2 linked regions of the Saccharomyces cerevisiae S288C genome follow. The gene in region 2 interacts genetically with the main gene of each other region. Each region holds a gene or a part of one and is shown on either strand. Other genes may lie near its edges.

Region 1 (4,478 bases), on a different chromosome or scaffold from region 2:
GCGAAAATGACGAAGACCAAGAAGTAAACGAAACTAGGCCAAGTATCTGTGATGAGGAATTCTGTTTTCCAATATTGTTCTATCATGTCAACAGTGTCCATACCGACGTATGCAAAAGTAGAGACTAGTAAGCCTAAGAAGAGTATAAACAACGAAATATAACACAATATGATCAGTTTTCTGTACATGTTTAATTTCACCACTTGGTTTTGTTCCCTCAAATAAGTCATTGTTTTGTTCATTGAAGACAGTGTCAAATAATAGAAAGCGAATAGACATAATACTAAGGGGATAGCAGTAATCAAAATCAAATTGGATAAAGACTCAGAATTCTGGGAATATTTTTGGACCAGGAATGCAACGCACACTGCAAACGTAAATATCGCAAATATTTGACATCTTCTTAGCAATGTACGGTCCAGTTTTGGATATACTATACCATATCCAAGAGATATCAGCAAGGCGAGGAGAAGCGTGAAAGTCATCTTACCGGCGCTAAAGATCGATATGAAAACCATATAGACATGAAGAGCGACGCTGGAGTTTCCCTTCTGGTTCTCAATAATATAGTACATCCAGACGAAAATAGTATCAGCTGTTAGGAAAATACAAAATACCAAAATGTACCTTTGTAAAGGCAGTAACTCATGTCTATGCTTCCAGCATAGCCAAGAGTACACTAATGTACAGACGGCATAAGCGACGGCCAAAAAGGCATAAATAGGCATCTTGTACGCCTCTGAAGCGTCCAATTGACCGTAAGCGTTCCTAAAATTCACTGTAGCCTTAAACTTGGAACTGGAAGAAATGAAAGATGACGTGGTCACACAATAGTAACCAGTTTTGTTAATTGAGTATACCTTGTCGTTAGTGCCCAATTCTTGTTGAGTGAAAGTCAAAATCTGACTCGTTAGCTTATGTTCCTTACTGGTGAACGGATCGATGGCTGTCTCTTGAATGATAAATTGCCCCTCCGACGAATCCTCACAGAGGCCCAAATCCAATGCGTAGTCATCGCAAATATACTGAATTTCTCCATTTGGTAACCGCACACCAATATGCTCATAATCTTGGAAATCAAACACAGCAACACTAACCCCCTCGCCATCATCGTCTTCATCAGCAAGTGACAATTCCTCCAACGTAAACGATATATAGGGGTCAACTTTTCCATTGAAATCCTCCTTGGAATACATCCCTGAACAGACATCGTGATATTTTTGATTTATGCTTTCTTGGTTCCCTTGAACTACCCCACAGAGTAGCAACAGCCACGTCAGTAATAGCCACGTTCTATCCATTTTTCTGTTCGCTAGTTATTGTGTCTAGTTTGCCCAAAAATGATTTACACAATACAGTTGAAATTTCAATACCTTTTTTTTCAATTTTCAGTTTTTCCATGTTGCAATGCGAGAATGGGTATGGGTAGCAAAAATTTCTAGTAGTAAAATCGATAGGAAAAAAAAAATGGAAAGAGCAATAGCCTTTTAGACCTGCCCTGCCTTATCAAGTTGTCATCTCATCGATGTAGGAATCTATTCTCTTGGCCATCCGGACGTCTATATCGCTAAGCTGGCTGTGAGCCCCGTCTTTCGGGTCTATGTCATGCGTATGAAGTTCCAGCTTGACCCAGGTGTAACTTGTGTGAATCAGGGGATGGTGGCCCCATAGATGAGATCTCATCGATACACGAGTCAAAAAGGCCCATGTGGTTTCGTAGTCCTTGAATGTTACCTCTCTTGTTATTCCCAAACATTTGGTCTTATTAGGGTCCCATTGAACTTCCCAACGGGTCAAGGGTTTTAGCTTCTCGAGTAGTTTGCCCCCTGTGAGTGCACTGGACGCGATTCTAACAATCTTGTTGTGCATTGTATTCTTACTTTGGTTTCTTTCTGCTTTTGGTAGGTTGTGTTTACTGTTTTATAACTGGAAGGGCTTAAATTCCAGATTGGAAAATTGAGAATGCCTTGGACAAAAAGCAAATAAAGGGACCCAAAAATAGTAAAGAGGAAATCAGGAAGGAAAGGCATGTCGTCAAGCCTTTTTATCCTGGATGAAAATCTGGAGCCATTGGTATCGAAGAATATTAGAGCACTACCGAATCTATCGTCGGTTCTTTCAAGTTTCAAACAATGTTATCATGACGGGTCGCCTCCAATTCTCTCCCAAAACGATTGGTTCTTTATACATTTGAAGAGAGACTTTCTGCATTTCGTTTCAGTGATACATACCACAGACAAACCAAATATAGACTTAATGACTATACTAGCCTTTTTGGAACAATTTTATCATCTTTTACAAAAATATTTTGAAATCGAGGTCTTAACTAAGAATGTCATACTGGACAACATCTTACTTGTCCTGGAGTTGATTGATGAATGTATAGACTTTGGTATCGTACAAGTGACGGATCCAAGTATCATCAAGGACTACATTCGTGTGAAGGTCAACGTACCAAGAGTTACAGTAGACAATGAGGAGTGGAGCCCTGGTGAAGAGAGCAGTAGTAGTAGCGGTAGCGATAGCGATAGCGAGTACAGCAATACTAATAAGAGGAAGGATAAGAAGAAGAAAAGGAAGAAGAAAAAGGGCACTAAAGGGAAAAGCGTGGGCAAAAGTAAATTAAAAAGTATAATGGTAAACAATAAAGAAAATAGGGGCATAAACGTGGTGGAAACTGTCAAGGAGACACTAAGGAACAAGAATGATACCGGTAAAGAAGCCGCTAATGACGAGCTCCCCAATGACGGTAATGATTTATACATCAATGGCGATATTGCGAAGACGATTATAATGCCCATATCATGGAGAACAAAGGGGATACATTACGCCAAAAACGAGTTCTTTCTTGATGTTATTGAACGTGTTCAGTACTTGATGGATTTTGAAAAAGGAGTGATTAGGAAAAATCTGATACATGGAGAGATTGTGTGCAGATGCTATTTATCAGGGATGCCCAAACTGAAAATATCCATAAACAAGATACTGAACAGGGACCCCCAGTTCATGTCGAATTCCAGCTTTCATCAGTGTGTTTCACTAGATTCCATAAACACTATTGAAAAAGATGAAGAAAAGAATAGTGACGATGATGCTGGTTTGCAGGCCGCCACAGATGCAAGAGAAATCGAATTTATACCGCCGGATGGCGAATTTGTTCTTTGCCAATACGAGTTGAAGAGACATGTAAAGGATGCGCCGATGGTGAGGTTGAAAGATTTTGAAATCAAACCTAAACTGAAGAAGTTTAAAATCCAAATTGTAACCAAAATTCAAACAAATTTTAAACCCACCAACTCAACGTCGAAGCTAAACGTGAGAATTCCCCTGACAAAAGTCTTCCAGGAATATAAAATAGACCTCAGCAAGCAAATTAGATTCAAGGCAAACATCGGCAAGGTCGTGTTTAACTTGAGTGACGATTTTCTCCTCTGGGAGATACAAACCATGAAGGGGCACCGAGAACATAGCACAAACAAGAGCTCACAGTACAACAGCGACGAAGATGATCCAAATACGTGTGCATCCATGGTGGCAGAGTTCCCCCTCTTCAACCAGGAAGAATATGACCGCCTGCAAGAAGAAATGAAAACCTCAATGAATCCGCCGCCCTTGCGCACGGGACCCAGGCTGGAAGAACTATATAGACAAGTGCACGACCAACAAACTTCCCACGTTACTCCTCGAGATAAGTTGGTCAACATTGATTTCGAGATTCCGTACTGTACATGCAGTGGCCTGAAAGTTGAGTACTTGAAGGTCGAAGAGCCACAATTGCAGTACCAGTCTTTCCCCTGGGTCAGATACAAGACCGTCAGCGACGAAGAGTACGCATATATTGTTTGACGCTTACGCAGACATCTCATAGATAGACAAATGGTACGTTCGTTTTAGTATATAGATGGCACCTTATAATCTTCATATGCAACCGGGTAAAATCGGGCGTTCTTATTTTTTTTTTTTCCACCTCAATGAGAGGGATTAATAAGAGGATTGGAGCAAGACAGCGATCTGCACTTAGCCAAGAAAGCATATCAGGCCAGAACGTGGCATTTTGTTTACAGTGCTGATTAAAGCGTGTGTATCAGGACAGTGTTTTTAACGAAGATACTAGTCATTGATGTCTGAAAATCAACGTTTAGGATTATCAGAGGAAGAGGTAGAAGCGGCTGAAGTACTTGGGGTGTTGAAACAATCATGCAGACAGAAGTCGCAGCCTTCAGAGGACGTCTCACAAGCTGACAAAATGCCGGCAAGTGAGTCGTCTACGACGCCGCTAAACATTTTGGATCGCGTAAGTAACAAAATTATCAGTAACGTAGTGACATTCTACGATGAAATAAACACCAACAAGAGGCCACTGAAATCAATAGGGAGGCTGCTAGACGATGACGATGACGAGCATGATGATTACGACTACAACGACGATGAGTTCTTCACCAACAAGAGACAGAAGCTGTCGCGGGCGATTGCCAAGG
Region 2 (4,780 bases):
ACTTGCTGATCTCTTGCCTGATTCATTCACCTCTCTCTCTGTTAGTAGCTTCATAGCTTTATCTTTCCAATAAAACATATCTTTTTCCAACCTTGATATAATGGCGTCTTTACTCGGAATTCGTGGTGCTGGCTGTTTTGATACGTCATAAACACATTTTAACCCATGCTTGACGCATCGACCACATTCAGGTTTTTCTCTATCACACTTTGTTTTTGACTTCCTACAAGCCTGGCAGACAAACAATATTCTATTTCTTTTCCTATTATGTGTTTCGGAGTTCTCGGGGGCAGGCGATGTGCTTGAGTGCTCAGCTTCTAATCCAGGCGTTGGGTTATTGAACCCTAAGAAAAACGCCTCCGAATATGGCTTGGTAGAGCTATTATCATCATTTCCGGCATGTGGGGCCTTCTGCGTACTATTTTCGACCATGACTTACGCAACCTAATCTATTATTAACCTGCTTCTAACACAAAATAGCCAACAGTAAATCCCTTCTGGAGGATCTGTTTCCTTCTCTACACGTCAAAAAAGATGTCAGAAAAAAGCGGCAATTGCGTACATTTAAGGAAGCAGAGCCAAAGCGAATTTCACATTTAAGGTTTTTATCGCTGAAATATGTGTGGTGTTGGGATGTAATGGAGATAATACACCTTTTTGAGCGGTTTTCTATGAAATATAATGTAGGATATCCTTGCCCTTAAATATTTATATAATAAGTTGTTACATGTGAGTATATATTGGATTACAAATATGGGTTGTTGTTGCGGGCGTTTTCGTTGCTGCCGTTGTTGTTAAAATGCGAATATGATTTATTGGAATTCCCCAGGTAGAGACTTGATTCAGGCTTCATTAAACTGGAGGTGCTTGTATTATTCGGCGCTAGATTAGTACGAGAAGCAGATGACGCACGTTGGTACTGTGGAGACAAGAAGCTGCCACCCGTACCCATGACAGCGGAGGTTGGTTGCACAGGTTGCTCCGTTACTTCCGAGGCATCGAAGGGAGAGGAATTTTGCTTAAAAGAGGATGAACTAGTCTCATCATCAAAGAGTCTTGCTGTATTTGTGTTTGCATTCAGGTTCTTGCCGAAAGTGTCGTCACGGAACATTTTTTCTTCCTCATTTTCATTGGTGTCCATAACAGCTTTTCTCAATTCAAACAGTTCAGAATCATTTTTGTTTTTGCCATCGAAATCATTTTGAATCTTAGGAATGAATGACACACGGTCATCTTTCATTGGTTGGTAACGGACATCTGGGTTTCTGTGTAGTAATGCCAGTGTACAGGTGACAATAGTGAACAATAATAGGAATAGAGCAAACACCGCGTTCAAAACGAACAGAATAACCGCCATCACTGACGAAACCACTGCTGGTTGCTTGAACAAATTACTGAAAAACAAAAAGAAAAATGCATTGATCAAATTCACCAAATGAATAGCAATATTGAAAACATTAGTTCTCTTGTCCAAATATGGTCTTATCCAACAGAGACAAACGAAGTAAGCTAGTTCAATGACAAAGATGATCATTGCTTGAGCCTTACCTTGGTTTTGTAAAACGGCAACAAACAGGGATCTTAAGAACGCATAACTTAATAAGGGTAAAAGCCACCAAAACTTATCTGCTTTGAATTGAACGTATAAGAACCCAAACTTGTTCAAGAAGTAGGTATCACTGTAAAGTAGGTACGCAGGATTCTTGTATAATCTGAGAGACTCTCTTCCCTTGATGAAAACCCTTATAGTTCCATAAACCAGAAGTCCCGTGATGATCAGTAATATTACTACCGCATCAACAACAATCGCTGGAGAGTTGACCTGAGTAAATTCCCAAATCGCCAGAAGAGAAACTTGAGGGAAGGCGATGATAGATAATCTGAAAAGGGTGCCTTTGATAATACTCCCCCAGTTCTTCCTATATTGGAAGAAATTGGAAGTCTCTTTCAATATTCTTGCTCTTGTAAGAACTTCCAATAGCGCCTTAAAGAAAATCAAAGAGACGACAACTACAAATAGGAAGAATAGAAAAAACACAATACCGGTCAAAAAGAAATTAGATAGCTCAATATTAGCCAAATAAGCAACTCTTTCTATACCTCTTAACACGAGAATCTTGGCTGAGTAATTGCTTGGATCCTTCTCAGAAGTGGTGTACAGATTCGAATCGTCTAAAATGGTGTCAAAATTGTAATCACTAGACGATGCCATAGAGATAGCACGTTTTTGCACACTAATGGACAAGACGTCCTTGTTAGCTACCACAACATTTGAGACACCATTAGTGGCCTGTACGTACCAATCAAAAATCTTTTGCATGAAGTTTGTATTGATGATACCCATGGACCATTGGAAATTCTGCGTCCACGCGGCAGCAATGGGTGGAACCCTTGAGACACCCATCATTGCAGTGATAGCTAGATTTTGGAAGTATATGAACAATGAGATGGAGTTGGACGCAATGTGAGCAGCAGTGGCTGAGTAACCGATCACAGACACAAACCCTGAGGTAAGTACACCGACACCTGAGATAGCGGCAATGGGCCAGGCCGCATACTTTGTTTGCACTGTCTTCCCGTTACTCAAGATAGCCTGGACACAAGCCAGCGGAGTTTCGAATTCCGTGTCATTCTGAGCGTATGCCACCACACGTACTTGTGCGTCCAAATCTGGAATGGTGTAAGCAATGCCGGGAAATTGCTTGGTAATGGATGATTCGATCACCTGTGTGGACATGACATCAATACGCCCAGCACTTAGGGGGCAAAGCGATACTTGGCCCAAGGAACATAAATCAAAAGTCTTATCCAGGACTTTCAGTCCGTAAGTAAGCAGCTCAGCCTTCACAGTGACGTTCCCATTAAGCGTCGTCGTAGCGTCAATATCAAAGATAACAGTATTATTATCGGGGTAAAATTTCACATCAAAGAATGATGCCGTTAATTGCGAATTGTCCATACACGTCAATAAAGAAGTGGTCTGCAAATGCTTTGCAGACGCCGGAGTAGTGTCGTTTGTGTCAGAGGAACGTGCTGTACCGCTGCACAGTACGAAACACGTTAAAAGGCACCTTGCGAAGGTGTTTAGGAAGATCATGGCTATATAATCTTTTTATCACGTCAATATAATCGTAATGAAACAGAAATGAATGTATTATAATACACTGAAACACGGTATAGCGCAGCAAATTGTTTTAGTTTAAGGGGTATAAATGTTTTCCAAGGGTGGTGTTCTATATATATATGCCATTCATATACTTTTAATAATGTTCTATACGTATTCCCGTGAAGGCATTAATGATTATCTTTTTCTTTAAAAATGCAAGATGGCTGAGTAGTCGCGCGAAAAAAAAAAAAAAAAGAAACAGCAAGGTTAATTTTAGAATACCAACAGGAAAAAAGAAAAGATTATCCTCCCAGAAAAACAATCTGTTTATTACCCGACATTCTTAAAAAAACAAAAGCAAATCACATGTGCACATACGTCCAGAATGATATCAAGATAAATGGCACGTGTATGTACGGCTGTGTAAATATGATAATCATCTCGGACGAACGGCGTAGCACTCTCCATCCCCTAAAAATGTTCACGTGTGACTGCTCCATTTCGCCGGATGTCGAGATGACCCCCCCCCCTCAAAAGGCACTCACCTGTTGACATGCCGTGGCAAATGATTGGGGTCATCCTTTTTTTCTGTTATCTCTAAGATCCAAAGAAAAGTAAAAAAAAAAGGTTGGGGTACGAATTGCCGCCGAGCCTCCGATGCCATTATTCAATGGGTATTGCAGTTGGGGTACAGTTCCTCGGTGGCAAATAGTTCTCCCTTCATTTTGTATATAAACTGGGCGGCTATTCTAAGCATATTTCTCCCTTAGGTTATCTGGTAGTACGTTATATCTTGTTCTTATATTTTCTATCTATAAGCAAAACCAAACATATCAAAACTACTAGAAAGACATTGCCCACTGTGCTATGTCGCCCTCTGCCGTACAATCATCAAAACTAGAAGAACAGTCAAGTGAAATTGACAAGTTGAAAGCAAAAATGTCCCAGTCTGCCGCCACTGCGCAGCAGAAGAAGGAACATGAGTATGAACATTTGACTTCGGTCAAGATCGTGCCACAACGGCCCATCTCAGATAGACTGCAGCCCGCAATTGCTACCCACTATTCTCCACACTTGGACGGGTTGCAGGACTATCAGCGCTTGCACAAGGAGTCTATTGAAGACCCTGCTAAGTTCTTCGGTTCTAAAGCTACCCAATTTTTAAACTGGTCTAAGCCATTCGATAAGGTGTTCATCCCAGACCCTAAAACGGGCAGGCCCTCCTTCCAGAACAATGCATGGTTCCTCAACGGCCAATTAAACGCCTGTTACAACTGTGTTGACAGACATGCCTTGAAGACTCCTAACAAGAAAGCCATTATTTTCGAAGGTGACGAGCCTGGCCAAGGCTATTCCATTACCTACAAGGAACTACTTGAAGAAGTTTGTCAAGTGGCACAAGTGCTGACTTACTCTATGGGCGTTCGCAAGGGCGATACTGTTGCCGTGTACATGCCTATGGTCCCAGAAGCAATCATAACCTTGTTGGCCATTTCCCGTATCGGTGCCATTCACTCCGTAGTCTTTGCCGGGTTTTCTTCCAACTCCTTGAGAGATCGTATCAACGATGGGGACTCTAAAGTTGTCATCACTACAGATGAATCCAACAGAGGTGGTAAAGTCATTGAGACTAAAAGAATTGTTGATGACGCGCTAAGAGAGACCCCAGGCGTG

Evidence for each region.
Region 1: of FLC2 (region 2) and APM2, extra expression of one rescues a mutant of the other (dosage rescue), as found in Saccharomyces cerevisiae (one study listed by BioGRID).

Annotation. Positions count from the first base shown.
Region 1 is NC_001140.6:67,099-71,576, reverse strand, and holds APM2 (Apm2p), read left to right. Parts: upstream 1-2,028; coding exon 2,029-3,846; downstream 3,847-4,478. Other genes in the region: YHL017W (uncharacterized protein), read right to left, coding at 1-1,301; MCO14 (4a-hydroxytetrahydrobiopterin dehydratase), read right to left, coding at 1,507-1,869; transcriptional regulator OPI1, read left to right, coding at 4,121-4,478. UniProt on the Saccharomyces cerevisiae protein: Component of the AP-1-related (AP-1R) complex, an adapter protein complex that mediates of cargo protein sorting in clathrin-coated vesicles. AP-1R has a specific role in SNARE SNC1 sorting.
Region 2 is NC_001133.9:44,216-48,995, reverse strand, and holds FLC2 (flavin adenine dinucleotide transporter FLC2), read right to left. Parts: upstream 3,098-4,780; coding exon 746-3,097; downstream 1-745. Other genes in the region: oleate-activated transcription factor OAF1, read right to left, coding at 1-432; ACS1 (acetate--CoA ligase 1), read left to right, coding at 3,974-4,780. UniProt on the Saccharomyces cerevisiae protein: May be responsible for the transport of FAD into the endoplasmic reticulum lumen, where it is required for oxidative protein folding.